Linked DNA regions of Neodiprion lecontei. The protein of the gene in region 1 interacts with the protein of each later gene in a pairwise test. Links are inferred from orthologs where the notes say so. Each region holds a gene or a part of one and is shown on either strand. Other genes may lie near its edges.

Region 1 (7,779 bases):
CTGTTCTTTGATAAAAAATTTCAAGGCGCTTAGCGTCCAACGACAACTGGTTTTGATTAATTAAAAAATGAGCACAGTGCGGGAATAAAATCCAATTCCGATCGTAGTGTGATGAACTAAAGTTATTTAAACATATTTATTATTCAGTTACGATTATCCTAAGTGGCTTGGGCTATTACAGACTTGGGCTATGTTGAAATTCTTATTACAAATTGAAATATATACAGTTATAAAGTTATGGCGAGAACTGCACAAGCCTAGAAGTTCGGATGGGAGGTAAAAGATAGTAAACGTTAATGTAAATCATCGTAGTGTTTAAAAAAGTTTGAAGAATTTGGATAAATAGTTACAACTATCTTATCACAGATTTGATGAATAACTAACTATTATTTAAGCGATCCCGTTGAAGATTAAAAATCAAACGTTTGTTATTTAAATTCTAACTCAATAGCTACATAACTGCCTGTTGTATTTAAATTGTACAAACTAATGAATAGCCGTGCTTCGTTTATCCTTATTTATCTTTGATCAAGTAAAATATCTCACTCTCAAATGGGTGGACTAAAATATAGTAATGACTTAGATGTTATACAAATACGTCGGCTCTGCCTGCCTTATTAATATTTTAGTAACATATATTGTCTAGTATTCACATAAAGTTAACGTTAGTAGATAATTTATGTTAATAATTAGCCTGTATAGTATTCAGTTGACTATATACTTGTGTATATTCATTTATAATGTAGTCACTTACTTCCGGAATATTTCTGGTAAATAGTGTAATACTATCAATGTGAATATTAATGACATTGTCAATAATCATCCCTGAAAAATTTTATTTTAATTCTTTTTAAGCATGTTTCTACTTTTTCTGAGGTGATCAAACTAGCAAATGGTCCTAGATTGATTTAAATTTGGCTTCATAACAATGTAAAATATACTTTTTTCTACCCAACAGACAACTTGTACATTTGATATAGTTTTGATACAAAATTGAATTGTTATACGTATTTAGTTGTGCCAATGATCAGTATAATTTCACAAAGAAATTTACTATTTTTGGTGTTACCGAGCCTATTAAGAGAATGTTATAATTTTGTTGGTATCTCGTAATATTTTAAGAGTTTCAATGACCCTGATAAAAACAAGTAATTACTTCTGACAGTTGGATTTTGTTCCGCAGTTTGAACTTTCCCTGCCAGCTTTTTTCTCTTAATTCATCAATTCAACATGTCTACAACTAAAATCTCTGATCATTTAATTACCTCTACGACTGAATTGAAACAAAATATCATAGATAACTTTTTAGTGAATGCATATATAGGTATACATATTTTTTATTATACGCTTTATGTTATTACAAAGATGTCATGAATAAAAATATAATTGTGCACATGAACATAATATTGAGATGATGTTTTTATTGAAAGATTCTAGGTGTGTAACAATTAGAGCTGGTCTAATTGCGCGATTTTCTTATCATGATATAAAAGTACTTGAAACGTTGAATTTCAATGAAACATTGCCAAATAATTTTCAATTCAAATTCTTCCAATATTCACAAGAGTAATGATAAAAAATTAAGGGATACCGAATTGACTAAACTTAGATAGGTCTGAGGCTATTTCGATTTTGATTTGTCAAATATAACTACAATAATCTCATCACTGACAGTTAAGATAATATATAGGATATTATCTTACTGACAGTGTGCACTGAAAGAAATCGTGATAGCAGAAAATAACGCCTGCCAATGGGAGAGGATAGAAATATTATGAATGAAACCCACGCACTTCTGTCTATCACACGCAAGCTCGAAACGAATGAAATATCGATTTGATAAACAAGAACCCCGAATGGCCAGAATTTCGCGGTTGAAAAAATACGAATTTCTGATTGGCTACAGAGGGTCATCCACCTGATTTTGACACTCGACATACAAATGTGACAAACGCATAATAATGATGTAGAGTAACGTTTCGCAAAATCACAATATAACGCTGCTTTCATCTGATACAAAGATAAGTGAGTACTTATTTTGTTATGCAACTATTGAACGGACAATTAACGTAATTGGAAATGCAAATAATTTGAGGTTGTGAAGCTCCTTTAGAATCGGGTGAAATTTTACCGACATAACCGAAATGGACAACACAGCGACAGCCGAGTGTCTCACCCTGGATTTTGGGCCGTTCGAAACGGTTCACCGTTGGCAACAAATGCCAGAATGTGATGAATTTGTTGGAGCCAGGTGCGATAAATTTTCGTCAATCCATTTCATGCATTATAGGTTATGTCAGTTTATGTCAAGTTATAACATCGCTCTTCACCGTTTGCTTTCCTATTTTAATCCAGCAATTGAACCGCTTACTGATGCATTAGAGATAATGTTTCAATTCACACATGCTATACTTCATGACTTTGATGGAGCAGATACACCTACAAAAAATTTGTTTCAATATATTAAGATTCTGAATAAAGTTAAATGAGATCCTCTGTAGAAGAGTATCAGTCAATCATTTGTGCAGCTTCTTATATTGATGTCAACTGTCCAAGTATTGTGCTAAAAGTTTGCCAGAAACAGGTGTTTCGTTACTTTATGAAAGTCATTTACAAAATTTGGATATCTTCATCAGATAACATAATAAAATATCCCCTTATAATGGTAAATAAGTCAACATCCATCTCTATTATTTTTTCTACACAGACGAAGTAAGCACACGGTAGTAGCATATAAAGATGCTATTTACGTATTTGGAGGAGATAACGGAAAGAAAATGTTGAATGATTTGCTACGGTTTGACGTTAAAGAAAAATCTTGGGGTAGGGCGTTCTCCACTGGGATTCCGCCAGCACCAAGATATCACCACTCAGCCGTAGTTTATGACGTTTCTATGTTCGTTTTTGGTGGATACACTGGAGACATTCATTCAAATTCTAATTTAACCAACAAGAATGATTTATTTGAGTATAAATTCAAGACTGGTCAATGGATTGAGTGGCGGTTTATTGGAAAGTAAGTTGATTGTGACCTTTATCAACATTCCTACAACGATGATAAAAATATGGAGCTTTCCATAATAATTATGGTACCTGCTCCTCTCATTATTTGAATCTATTGAAATCATAAACAAATTGCAGAGTATTCGAAGAGCAGAAAGTTTATGTCCAAGCATCTAGTTGTGATATGAAGTAATTGGCCAGAGCAAGACTGTTCATGTCTAATAAATATATATATGTGAATATATATATGTCTGCACCTGGCATTGGAATATTATTGCTAAACTACGAACTATGTATAATACTTATTTTCATAGTATCTCTTTCAAATCTGTAGAACACCTGTACCCAGATCAGCCCATGGTGCTGCAGTGTATGATAATAAGCTTTGGATATTCGCTGGGTACGATGGGAATGCTAGATTAAATGATATGTGGACCATATCGCTGCTTGTAAGTCAATTACATTCACACTAAATTATAATTAATAGATAGTAAATTTTTTTATGTAAAAGTAAGAGTTGATTAAATAAAAGCATTGTGGTTTATAGCCAGGAGATATGAGAGTTTGGGAAGAAGTTGCGCAATCTGGAGATTGTCCACCAACGTGTTGCAATTTCCCTGTAGCTGTTGCTCGTGAATCTATGTTCGTTTTCAGTGGTCAGAGTGGAGCCAAAATTACAAACAGCTTGTTTCAGTTCCACTTCAAAGACAAAAGGTCGGTGAAATTGGCATACCAACATCAATAAAGTTTTTTAGTCAAACAAATATCCAAATTCATTATGCAAAAATGCAGACTTTCATTACAAGACTTTTGTAATTAAGAAGCACTCGGATTTTTTGACATAATGCGTGACATGAATTATGTTCAATAGGTGGACTCGAATATCCACAGAGCATATATTGAGAGGTGCTCCACCTCCTCCAGCTCGCCGTTATGGTCACACAATGGTCAGTTTTGACAGGCATCTCTATGTCTTTGGTGGAACGGCAGATTCAACCCTACCCAATGATTTGCATTGTTACGACCTGGATACACAGACATGGAGTGTAATTTTATCATCGGCAGACAGCCAAGTACCATCTGGACGATTATTTCATGCTGCAGCAGTAATTGGGGAAGCTATGTTTATATTTGGAGGCACTGTAGATAACAATGTGAGATCTGGTGAGATGTACAGGTTTCAATTTTCTTCTTATCCTAAATGTACTCTGCACGATGATTTTGGAAGATTGCTCAGCAGTCAACAGTTCTGCGACGTCCAATTTATTGTTGGAGAAAGCGAAGAGAAAATACCAGCACATATTGCTATGGTAGCCGCACGATCTCAGTGGTTAAGAGCTAGAATTAAACAAGCCCAAGATCAGAGAGAAAAGCATCTTGAAAAAATTTTAGGCATTACCGATCTACCGCTCAAAGATTTACCGTTGCTAGAAGTCAAATTGAAGGATGCTGTGCCGGAAGCCTTTGAAATGGTGTTGAACTACATATACACTGATCGAATAGATCCTACCAAAAAAATAGAAGATCCGTTGAGCAACAGAATCGTACTTCTAATGATGGACGTTTATCGACTAGCTGTTCAATTTCACATGAAAAGATTGGAACAACTTTGTGTTCAATATCTTGAAGCTACTATCAGTCATGCAAACGTTCTTGAAGCACTTCATAATGCAGCACTTTTAAAGTTGTATTTTATTAAAGAATTCTGCTTGAGTTTTGTTGTCAAGGACAGTAACTACAATCAAATAGTGATGAGCCAGGAATTTGAAACATTGGATCAACCCTTAATGGTAGAAATCATAAGAAGAAGGCAAATGCCGCAAGCTAAAAACTTTCTAAAGTCATACGAATCGACAGGTACTTTATTTAATATTGCCAAATTTTGGTGTTTAAAGGAATCTTTTAGTGAATACTTTGGAATAAAGACAATAACAATAACAAAGTGTGTCTTATTTAGAGCATAGATTCATTACTTATTGCTTGACGCTTTTACATTTTGTATGGTGATAATTTTATTTTTCTTGAATAGAATTTGCACACATTCATGTGTTGGGAACAACTCTAGAGCAGGATATGGAGGTCTTTTTAAAGAGTGCGAGCACCGAATTTTGTGATATTATGCTGATGTTGCATGGGACACCCATACCAGCACACAAGGCTATCCTTGCCGCTAGATGCAGTTATTTCGAAGGCATGTTCCGATCTTTTATGCCTGAAGACAACATAGTGAACGTAAGTATATTACTAGGCCCTCTTATTATTGATTGTAGTACTTTACTTGTAACAAATACCATTTTCAGATCCAAATCGGAGAGATGATTCCTTCAAAAGAATCATTCGATTCCCTGCTCAGGTATATTTATTACGCAGATGTCTTAATGCCTCCTGAGGACTCTCTGTACCTATTCACTGCACCAGTATTTTACGGCTTTACAAATAATCGCCTGCAAGCCTTTTGCAAGCAAAATCTTGAAATGAATGTTACGTTTGAAAACGTTATACAAATTCTTGAAGCTGCAGATAGAATGCAGGCTATTGACATGAAAAAATATGCTCTCAATCTGATCGTCCATCATTTTAGTAAGGTATAGAACAACATTTCTTGAAAGAAAAGTTTAATGCATAATATGTGGAGCATACTTATGTAAATTGAGTCACCTTGATTCCTGAATGTCAAACTTTGTTGTGATACTTAACTTTTTTACACTCTGTGGAAAAAAATCCATACATACGTGCACTCGTGCTTCACCTAAATCAATGAGACCTTATTATAAATAAATTGCTTTTTTTTATGTAGGTGCAATACTGTTGAACAATTGAGTTGAGGAAAAATGTTGATTGGGATCGTTTTCCAAGTACTCGTTAAAATTTAGAAAAATAATCCATCAGTTCTAATCCAATTTTTGACCACAAAATATTTACCATTTTTGGTTTCCATTGACTGTGGAAGCGATATTTGAGCATCACATAAATGGTGTACCTAATTTGTAGGTGGCACGATTGCCAAAATTGAAGCAGTTGAGTCGAGAACTTTTACTGGATATTATAGAGGCATTGGCGGATGAAAAGAGTGAGGCTCGAATGTGTCAGGACATGTCCAGTGCTAGTCTTTCCAGTGACTGCTGACAGACTTCCAGTCAGGTATGGAGAGCTCCCATGCCCTCCAGTTTTCAGGTTTGTATTTACAAGAGAATAAATGAGTTATTAAGTTAAATGGGTAAATATTATATATAAATAAAATGGAAAACAAATGGTGAAAAATGTTTTAATTTTTAGGAGTTATTTCGAGTGAATTTCATCTTGATAACACGCATGATACTGTTCATTGGGAACTACTACTTTGATTTAAAGATGTGTCCGCAATATAGACAAGGCTACAGGCGATGTAACCATAAGAAGAAGCGACATCATCGATTTAAAATTCACTGACAGTTGGCATGACTTTTATTACGACTGCTAGCGTGTCTCAAGAAAAAAGATGACACCAGCAGCTTCAACTATTGAATTTTTTTCACATGAATGGATTATTACGTGATAAGTTTTTGAAATCTCGTCACCAATTTAGTCATACTCAATTTATAGTATAGTAATAGCAGACAGCTAATTGTTAGTAATATACTTGTTGCCCTTGACAATGACCAGTAAAAGCATGTCTCAACGTTCTTGTATTGGCTTCAACAAATCAATAATCTGCTCAAATAACATGATAAGCATAAGTGTGATATTGGTCAGTTTGCAGCGTTCGCAGGATGAGTTCATTTACGAAAATTAAAAAATAAATTACCACAGTAAATTACGTTATTATTTATTGCAGTTAGTAGTGATTTCGAATAGTTTTTTACTTTTTCCAAATAAATCTAGTCACACTTAACCCGGTGGAAGAATTAGAATTAATGATGAAATGACACAAATCGTACAATACTTATGGTCATTTCTACGATAAAAAAAATATGAAGCACGTATCGTACTATGTTACAAGCTTTTGTATAATAAAGAGCTGTAATACGATTTGCTGGTAAATTCTAGTAAAAACAGAAATTAGTTTTACGAAATCTTAAGATATTAAGCACGCGAATTAGCACGAGTTATTGAAACATCTGCGCAAGAATTCAACATTCCACAACCGTAATAATAGAATATTTTGTTTATTAATTGTGAATTTAAGAAGATTCGGGTCCTATCACTATCAAAAGTAACTACCGTTTCAGGTTATCCTAATTTCTAAATTTCACGGTTATCCTCTCTCAAGTTACATGATATCGTAGTTATTAATTAGGTAGTTAATTACCTATATTTAGAAAATAATTTTGAATAACAGATGTAGTCCTTTAATGTTTTATCTTTACTATTCAGAAATTCTAATGTATTGTTACATTCATCAAGACATATTGAGCGAAAAAGCATTGTCTCCGTATAAATGATAGCATTGACAGGTTTTTTTAAGCATCACTGAAATCGTATACATAAGTTTGTATTCATTAAGCAAACCATAATTAGCGAAAATTGTATGGTTAAAAGTTTTTTCATTCACTTGAAGTGTTTGCGAACGTGTGTTATGTAAGAATTTGATACAGCTAATCTGCACCTTGATCTAACGTTGGTGTAATTAAATTTATTTGTATATATATTTTTAATCAATTTATGTATCATTGATTGTTTTCTATTTACGAGCATTCTTAGTAATGTATGATCATACTCAAATGACAGTGTTGAGTGTGGAAAGTTCAACTTATTCAATATTCAATATTGATATTGAATAGGTTTGATGCATTTGGG
Region 2 (6,488 bases), on another chromosome or scaffold:
ACACCATTACATGCAGCAGCAAACCATGGACATTTAGAAGTTGTAGAGATGTTGCTGGAAGCTGGAGCTGATGCTAGTCTTAAGAACAGTGATAATTTAATACCAGAAGAACTGGCTAGCAACGCAGCAGTTATAAATACTATACAAATGAGTTACAGGGAATATTCTGCTAATCATTGTTACGATGATAATGACTATGAAGATGAGAGTGATTAATGAAGAAAGGAGCACTCATAAAGGAGTGCTAATAAGTAACCTTTCCTGATGTACGTTAATTCTCTTATGAGCTGTCTCTTCATTGAACATATTACAGGAAAAAAAAAAGGAATTCTGTGTTCATTGTAAGACAAAAGTGATACAATGTAAGTTTAACTGTGAAAAGTTCAGCCTGCATAATAACACACATACCATTCCGAATGTGAGCTCGAAAATACTATTATTATTGTAGCTTCAAGTACGTATTTTACATCGAGGATCTCAACAGAGTACTTCTACCAGGGTATTAATGAATTCTTTAGTATAGTGTATTTTGAAATTTTACAATGTTAAAATTAGAAATGAGTCATTACGTTGAAAATTTTATCAAGAAATAACGTTTTTATTAATTTATAGTTTAGATATAATACATCTGTTTTCGAATTTCATCCGTAAGCTGTGAAAGTATTGCCGATATGTATTTAATTTTGGAGAGTTTAATAAATACTGATATAATAGGTAAATTCATTCTCATAACTAACAATGAAGTAAATAAGTGATTAGGAAAAGACTGAGTATTATTCAAGATATATTCAACAATATGTTAGAGAATCAAGCATTGCTTACCCACTAACAATACCGTAATCGTACTTACTCTAATTAATGTCATGCCATTTGCTTACAAAACAAAATAAGATTCACTTCATGTTTCTGTACCATGCAAAATAATTTACAATACAACTTGCAGCTGAGTTCAGTAATTTCACACTTGAGTAACTCGACGTACTCGAAATTATTACTATGCATGCTTTGCTATTAGTAAATACCTGTGCAGAGCAAATCGTGGTAACTCAAAACAATTAACCAACTTGCCTTGTGCATTATATAAAAAAATTTTGGTCATCATTTTTGTTCAATATGAACAAGTTTGCTGAAACTATTCAAGATTTTCCACTGAACCATCTATTGAAATCAAGTCGCAGTAATAGCTGTGCCAAATGTGTCCCTGCTGGTTGCGCCCGTACTTTGTTCAAAGTTTTTGTTAGCCAATCCATAAGACTATTTAAAGTGTCGGCTAATGCTTTGAGTTCTTCTTTTTCAGTTACTAGTAAATTACCCAATTCCCACATGGGTGCTTGCAGTATGAAATCGTCGCACAGCCGTAACAATATTTTTATCAACTTGTTGACCTAAAAAATTTAGTTGTTTGTACAAGAGTATAAATATATCTGATCCTAGTTTAACTGATGCTGATTAGTTGCAAACATATGTGCTACATCGAAATGTACTGTGATATTTAAAATATGTAACTCGAAAAGAAGTGAATAATTTGGAAAGAAACTTACTGGGTTGACTTTATCACTGGAACCTTGGAACAGAAAAGTTTGTGACATAATGTTGGCTAGAAATACAGAATGTCCTTTTTGAATCTCCTCAAAGTTGCGCGTATTTTTCATAGTATTTTCCATAATTGTGTACTGACTTTCTAGTACATCTACTTGTAAATAATACTGTAAGTTGTTGATAACAAACATCAAGTTGTTTCTCAACTGCATCACTCCAATATCACTGTTTGGAAATACATTAAAAGTTAGTTACGTATTTACAAGAGATTCGAAATTCCTACTTTTGAAGTAATGCCAATATGTGTTTAATTTTTTCGCGACATGAAGTAAATACTGGTGTGGTCGGTCAATTCATTCTCACTACTAACAATAAATAAATGAACTTACACATTTTTTGTTCGCATATGTTCGGACCATAGATTTTGTAAATTAATTTGTGTTTTTTTTACTCTCAACAAAAATCGAAATAATGTATTGTAATCGCACAACGCCATTGGACTGAACAACAAATGTAATGGCCAGACTACTTTGTACTGAAGCTGAATCAGTCCCCATCCTCTTGTGTCTGCAATTAAAAATTTCATGGTCAATTCATGCAAAATGTTGACATTAGTCATGATTCAGCAATATTAATGGGAATGGTTTATTTACCAATGGGGTCTTCGCGTTCTCTTCTTGAAAATTCACCATCTTCTGGATCTTCACCAACTTCATTTTCAATCTCTGGGACAGGAACAAGAAAGTCAAAACTTTCCGTTGTGCTCTCATCATGTAGGAGCATTTTCCGTGCAGCTATTTGGAATGATAAATTTATATCCCTGGTGGTATGACTAGTCGGTTTTTTATTTAATATGTGACCTGCTAATCTAATAAATTCAAGGAACAATTCACCACGACCGAGTAAAAAAAAGTCTTTTATCAGTTTAATTTGATGCATAAGCTGTGCTTCTTCAACCGCAACTCTCCATAAGTGTTCAGTGACACACTGTTTGAGTTCATCAACAGTTCTTTCAAATTCAATTATATCAAAAGTTCTTTTATTTTTCAAATTTTGTAACTCGTGAAAATGCTCGTACTCTTTTGCACCCCATATTGAGTTTTCAGCCTTTGTGAATATACTCAGATCTGGAAATTAAAGTGTTAATTCGTTTTAGAAAAAATTTCTCTATTTCATCTATTTCGAAAATTTAGAAAACTCCAAATATTTTTAATAGAATTGTATGTAAAAACAAATCAGTTTAATACACATCTGTTGCAGTGGATGATAGGTTTAGTGATTCAAGCACAATAACACTAAAAGTATACCTTTCTTTTGTCTGGGATCATTTCCAAACATGATAATAGTTTGACCAATGGTCAATATTTTAAGCGCTAATGATGGCCTTATATAAGATGGCAGTACATGGATTTTTATTTCGTAATCCCACATGTCTGCACATAAATTTTTTGATGATTTTTCATCTGCTATACCAGAACTGTCTTTACTCTTAGCTAGAACCAAACTATCCTGTGGTTTAGATGCTCTTTGAATAAAAAATTCGTTATGAACATCTTCCAGAATTCCGTATAAGAGCCAACTGGATAGTTGTTTATAAAACACGACATGACAGCAATACATCATCCTGAAAGTATATCAAATTGATCGATAATATGAGTCATTTTTAATTTTATAAAAATAGAAGAATCTTTGAGCTCACATACTTTTCTAAAGCCTGCCGCACTTCAGGTACCCCAGTGTGCATGTGTTGATGCAAGTATTGTAATACTTTACAGCCATGAACTTTTTGGGTTCGAATCTAAAACAGTACATGTATCACACATAATGTTTCTTTACTTTGACCTTTCATCTATATTCCTGATTGATAACAAGTGATTTTAAAGTATATAATTCCGACCAATTTTTGTTTTAACTAAAACAAAACGCAAATATGAGTCAACAATTCAGAGATATGTGTACCTCACTTATTATGGAATTCAGAACTGAGAATAAACAGAGATATTTTTGTATTCGTGATAGTATGAAGGTCAATGGCGTGTACGCGTCATTCAGCACGATTTTTTCCAATTCGATAACATCTTCGCGAAACGGCTGTATTGCTTGTTCCATACCGTCACATAAGGCCTGCAGATAAAGGCCCCATTTCAAATTTCCTGTGTAAGCAAAATAGCATCATGTCAATCGTATTGCAATCAGACAGTTATAAAGCATTAACCTTGATATAGTCGAAGATGTTTTAAATTTGTCAATTGTGGGTTAGTGAAAATTCTTGAAGAAATGTTGATAGTGTGTAATTCAGATATTTTGCATGAACAAATCTTGCTAGTTTACTTTTAATGTGAATGTTATTTGGTAATATATTGTACCAGTTGCGTCATTCGGAGCACCAATAACAGACGTATGGGCATTTATAAAATTTCTCACTGCATTACATTCCTCCGCAATGCCTAGAATTTTTTTAATCAAAGCTTGCTCTCCAGGGTGTAGAAGCTTTTCGGTTTCTAAAAACTGTAAACATAGTTTGTCAGATTTTGGAGGTTATATCTTGACAACTGTCAACTCCATAAACGATGCAGTTCTTACATCAGTGTCTATAATTTGTACGACATTAGTCGTGCAACCCCAAAGAGACAATAAAACTTCGTGCAGCATTTCTTTCGCTTCAAAAACACATTTAACAATAAGATCCGTCTACCCAGTCCAGGTTGTTTGGAGCTGTTCGAGCATTGAAGTCTGATTAAATTTGATTTGAGAACACGTCTGAATCATTGGTGTAAACGCATCCACTTCCGAGTTCAAGTGCATCGTCAATTGCACGACCGTGTTTGCATGCGTGTATCGGCATTTAAGGGAAGAAACTTCTCGAGAAATTAGTTAAAATCAGCGGGAGGTAGATATTTATTGAATTTTTTGATTTTCTCTCAAATTTCTCATTAACCTTTGGTGTATCTGTGGAAATCAAAGCACACTTGTTTGCTACAGTCTGCAATGCAAACCGCAATTCGAAAATTGCTATGCCATAGACAATTCCAATTAATCTGCCAATGCAAAAACAATATTTGTAAACATTATAACAACTTCTCGGTAACAATTTGTGAAACGATGGACACTGTTGGAGACTGCCAGCTAGCCCTGCGTTATTTTTGATAGTAATTTGCCAGCTCTACTGGGCAGGTTTGGGTGTAATTCCACTACCCTGCACTTAACAACTGACTCGTCTCATCCCAATCCGCGGGATCCTAATGCAAGATCAAGTCGGCGTAGCAGAATATTGTAACGTTCCCCCTCGCCCTTCAGCAGTCCATAAGGCTAGCAGTTTCGAATATCTTTAGTCAAAAATTGAAGGAACGAAATTGAATGTTCCGAAATACCAGGAATCTTCAAGTTTGTAAAACTTCCGGTTTAGTCGTAGGCATGTCGTAGGTAAGATTTTAATGTTCTTGACTCTTACATGATTGTTCCGTTCTAACTAGTTATAGCAACGTTCAGAATGCGCGTGAATTATTGCCCTACAATAAGAATAATCCTCTACCGTTGACAGATATTCTACAGTTATCAAATTGATTTTTTTGTGTGCATATATAATATAATATACATCTTTATATCAGAGAAAAATCTTTTCTATAATGTTTTACAGTCGTTCTCATAGCCCTGTTGCATGAAAATTACACAGATGGCGCACGTGGACATTGGCTAGCGGTCTATGGCTACCCATATAGAAGGGTGTGTTCCGAAATGAGCTGCGACCGTTGATAATTCATTAACTAGAAACAGAACTGGTGGTCAAACTTGAAATACAACAAAGATAAAAGATTGCTGACAGTACTGTCAACTAATTTTGGAGCATAGCCTTGGAAAAAGATAAATTTTCGGAGTAAACGCAGCCAGTACGCAGTCTATTCCGAACAATTTCAAATAATTGTTTAAATTTCACTTCCAAGTCTTAACTTGAAGGAAACTTGAATAATTCCATGAACCCAGACGTATTGTGATCGTCAAAGGCCACTAAAAGCTTTTCCAAAATACAATAACAATTAAGATAAGGAGTGATCAGTCTTCTGTGACGCTGGACATAAAAGTGCTCAGCATATTACAGCGAAAATAAAAATTTCGGCGTACAACGCGGGAAACGAACGGGAATTTTCTTCAAGTGGTGGGAAGCACAGCAGACAAGACGGCTTCGCAAAAAAAATCGTCGAGGAAGATGGCGGATACGGAAGAACTGAAGGTAGGACGAGAATAAAATAGATCTTATTATCTTGACTTAAACGAGCCACATGTTAAATGCCTTCCAGAAACTTGAGTCATTGATTTTTCCGTGTCTTATTTTTCACCAATTATCGAACATTCACATATCCAAACTCTTCCAATGTCTTGCCAACGCAAGCAAGGCTGCGTTTGATCATACTAAGCGACATTTATTTTCACACGCGGCTTTTCGCTTTTCTTCACATTCGTCCAATTTCCAACTTCCATATTTTCGTAAACGTATCTTCATTCAATTCGGAAACTTCTCGTGTATCTCAAGCATAACACAGGAATGCGGATACGAGACGGCAAGTAGGAGCAACTGATAACTACAATGGGTAACCTCTATCTCTAGCTTATGCATCACGCTATTCAAATAATCAACATATTTTACTCTACAAAATTTTTTGGAATTGCCTCCCCATCTATCTACTTTGGGCACAAGAGTTTACTTTTGTGCACTTCGTATATGGCAGGTTGGGAAAAATTGTCATATTTGATTATATATTTTTCCGACTAGTACTATAGAGTGTAATAACATTTGAGAATATAGCTAGACAGAAACGGTACGATTTTCTAGCAGGAAGAATTTGTCGTTATTGCCTAATGTTGTTATCATTAAAGACATTTTCTCATTCTGTGAAGTCTCAGTTTGTCTATAATTATCTTGGGCTATTATGGCTATAAAAATGTCAATTGTC

What was found. The genes of interacting proteins can lie anywhere in the genome.
Region 2: the proteins of leucine-zipper-like transcriptional regulator 1 (region 1) and gamma-tubulin complex component 4 interact in binary tests that used the Homo sapiens proteins (3 or more experiments, as listed by UniProt). The link is inferred for Neodiprion lecontei from reciprocal best matches to the Homo sapiens genes LZTR1 and TUBGCP4.

What each region holds. Positions count from the first base shown.
Region 1 is NC_060262.1:24,978,899-24,986,677, reverse strand, and holds the start of leucine-zipper-like transcriptional regulator 1, read left to right. Parts: upstream 1-1,757; 5' UTR 1,758-2,025; intron 2,026-2,095; 5' UTR 2,096-2,144; coding exon 2,145-2,251; intron 2,252-2,707; coding exon 2,708-3,016; intron 3,017-3,337; coding exon 3,338-3,452; intron 3,453-3,550; coding exon 3,551-3,717; intron 3,718-3,874; coding exon 3,875-4,860; intron 4,861-5,032; coding exon 5,033-5,235; intron 5,236-5,303; coding exon 5,304-5,588; intron 5,589-5,994; coding exon 5,995-6,129; 3' UTR 6,130-6,177; intron 6,178-6,279; 3' UTR 6,280-7,779. UniProt on the Homo sapiens protein: Substrate-specific adapter of a BCR (BTB-CUL3-RBX1) E3 ubiquitin-protein ligase complex that mediates ubiquitination of Ras (K-Ras/KRAS, N-Ras/NRAS and H-Ras/HRAS).
Region 2 is NC_060260.1:32,567,852-32,574,339, forward strand, and holds gamma-tubulin complex component 4, read right to left. Parts: upstream 4,898-6,488; 5' UTR 4,192-4,897; coding exon 4,123-4,191; intron 4,048-4,122; coding exon 3,906-4,047; intron 3,693-3,905; coding exon 3,499-3,692; intron 3,338-3,498; coding exon 3,243-3,337; intron 3,164-3,242; coding exon 2,847-3,163; intron 2,667-2,846; coding exon 2,193-2,666; intron 2,107-2,192; coding exon 1,929-2,106; intron 1,765-1,928; coding exon 1,542-1,764; intron 1,386-1,541; coding exon 1,137-1,385; 3' UTR 542-1,136; downstream 1-541. Other genes in the region: osteoclast-stimulating factor 1, read left to right, coding at 1-216; E3 SUMO-protein ligase PIAS2, read left to right, coding at 5,817-6,095. UniProt on the Homo sapiens protein: Component of the gamma-tubulin ring complex (gTuRC) which mediates microtubule nucleation.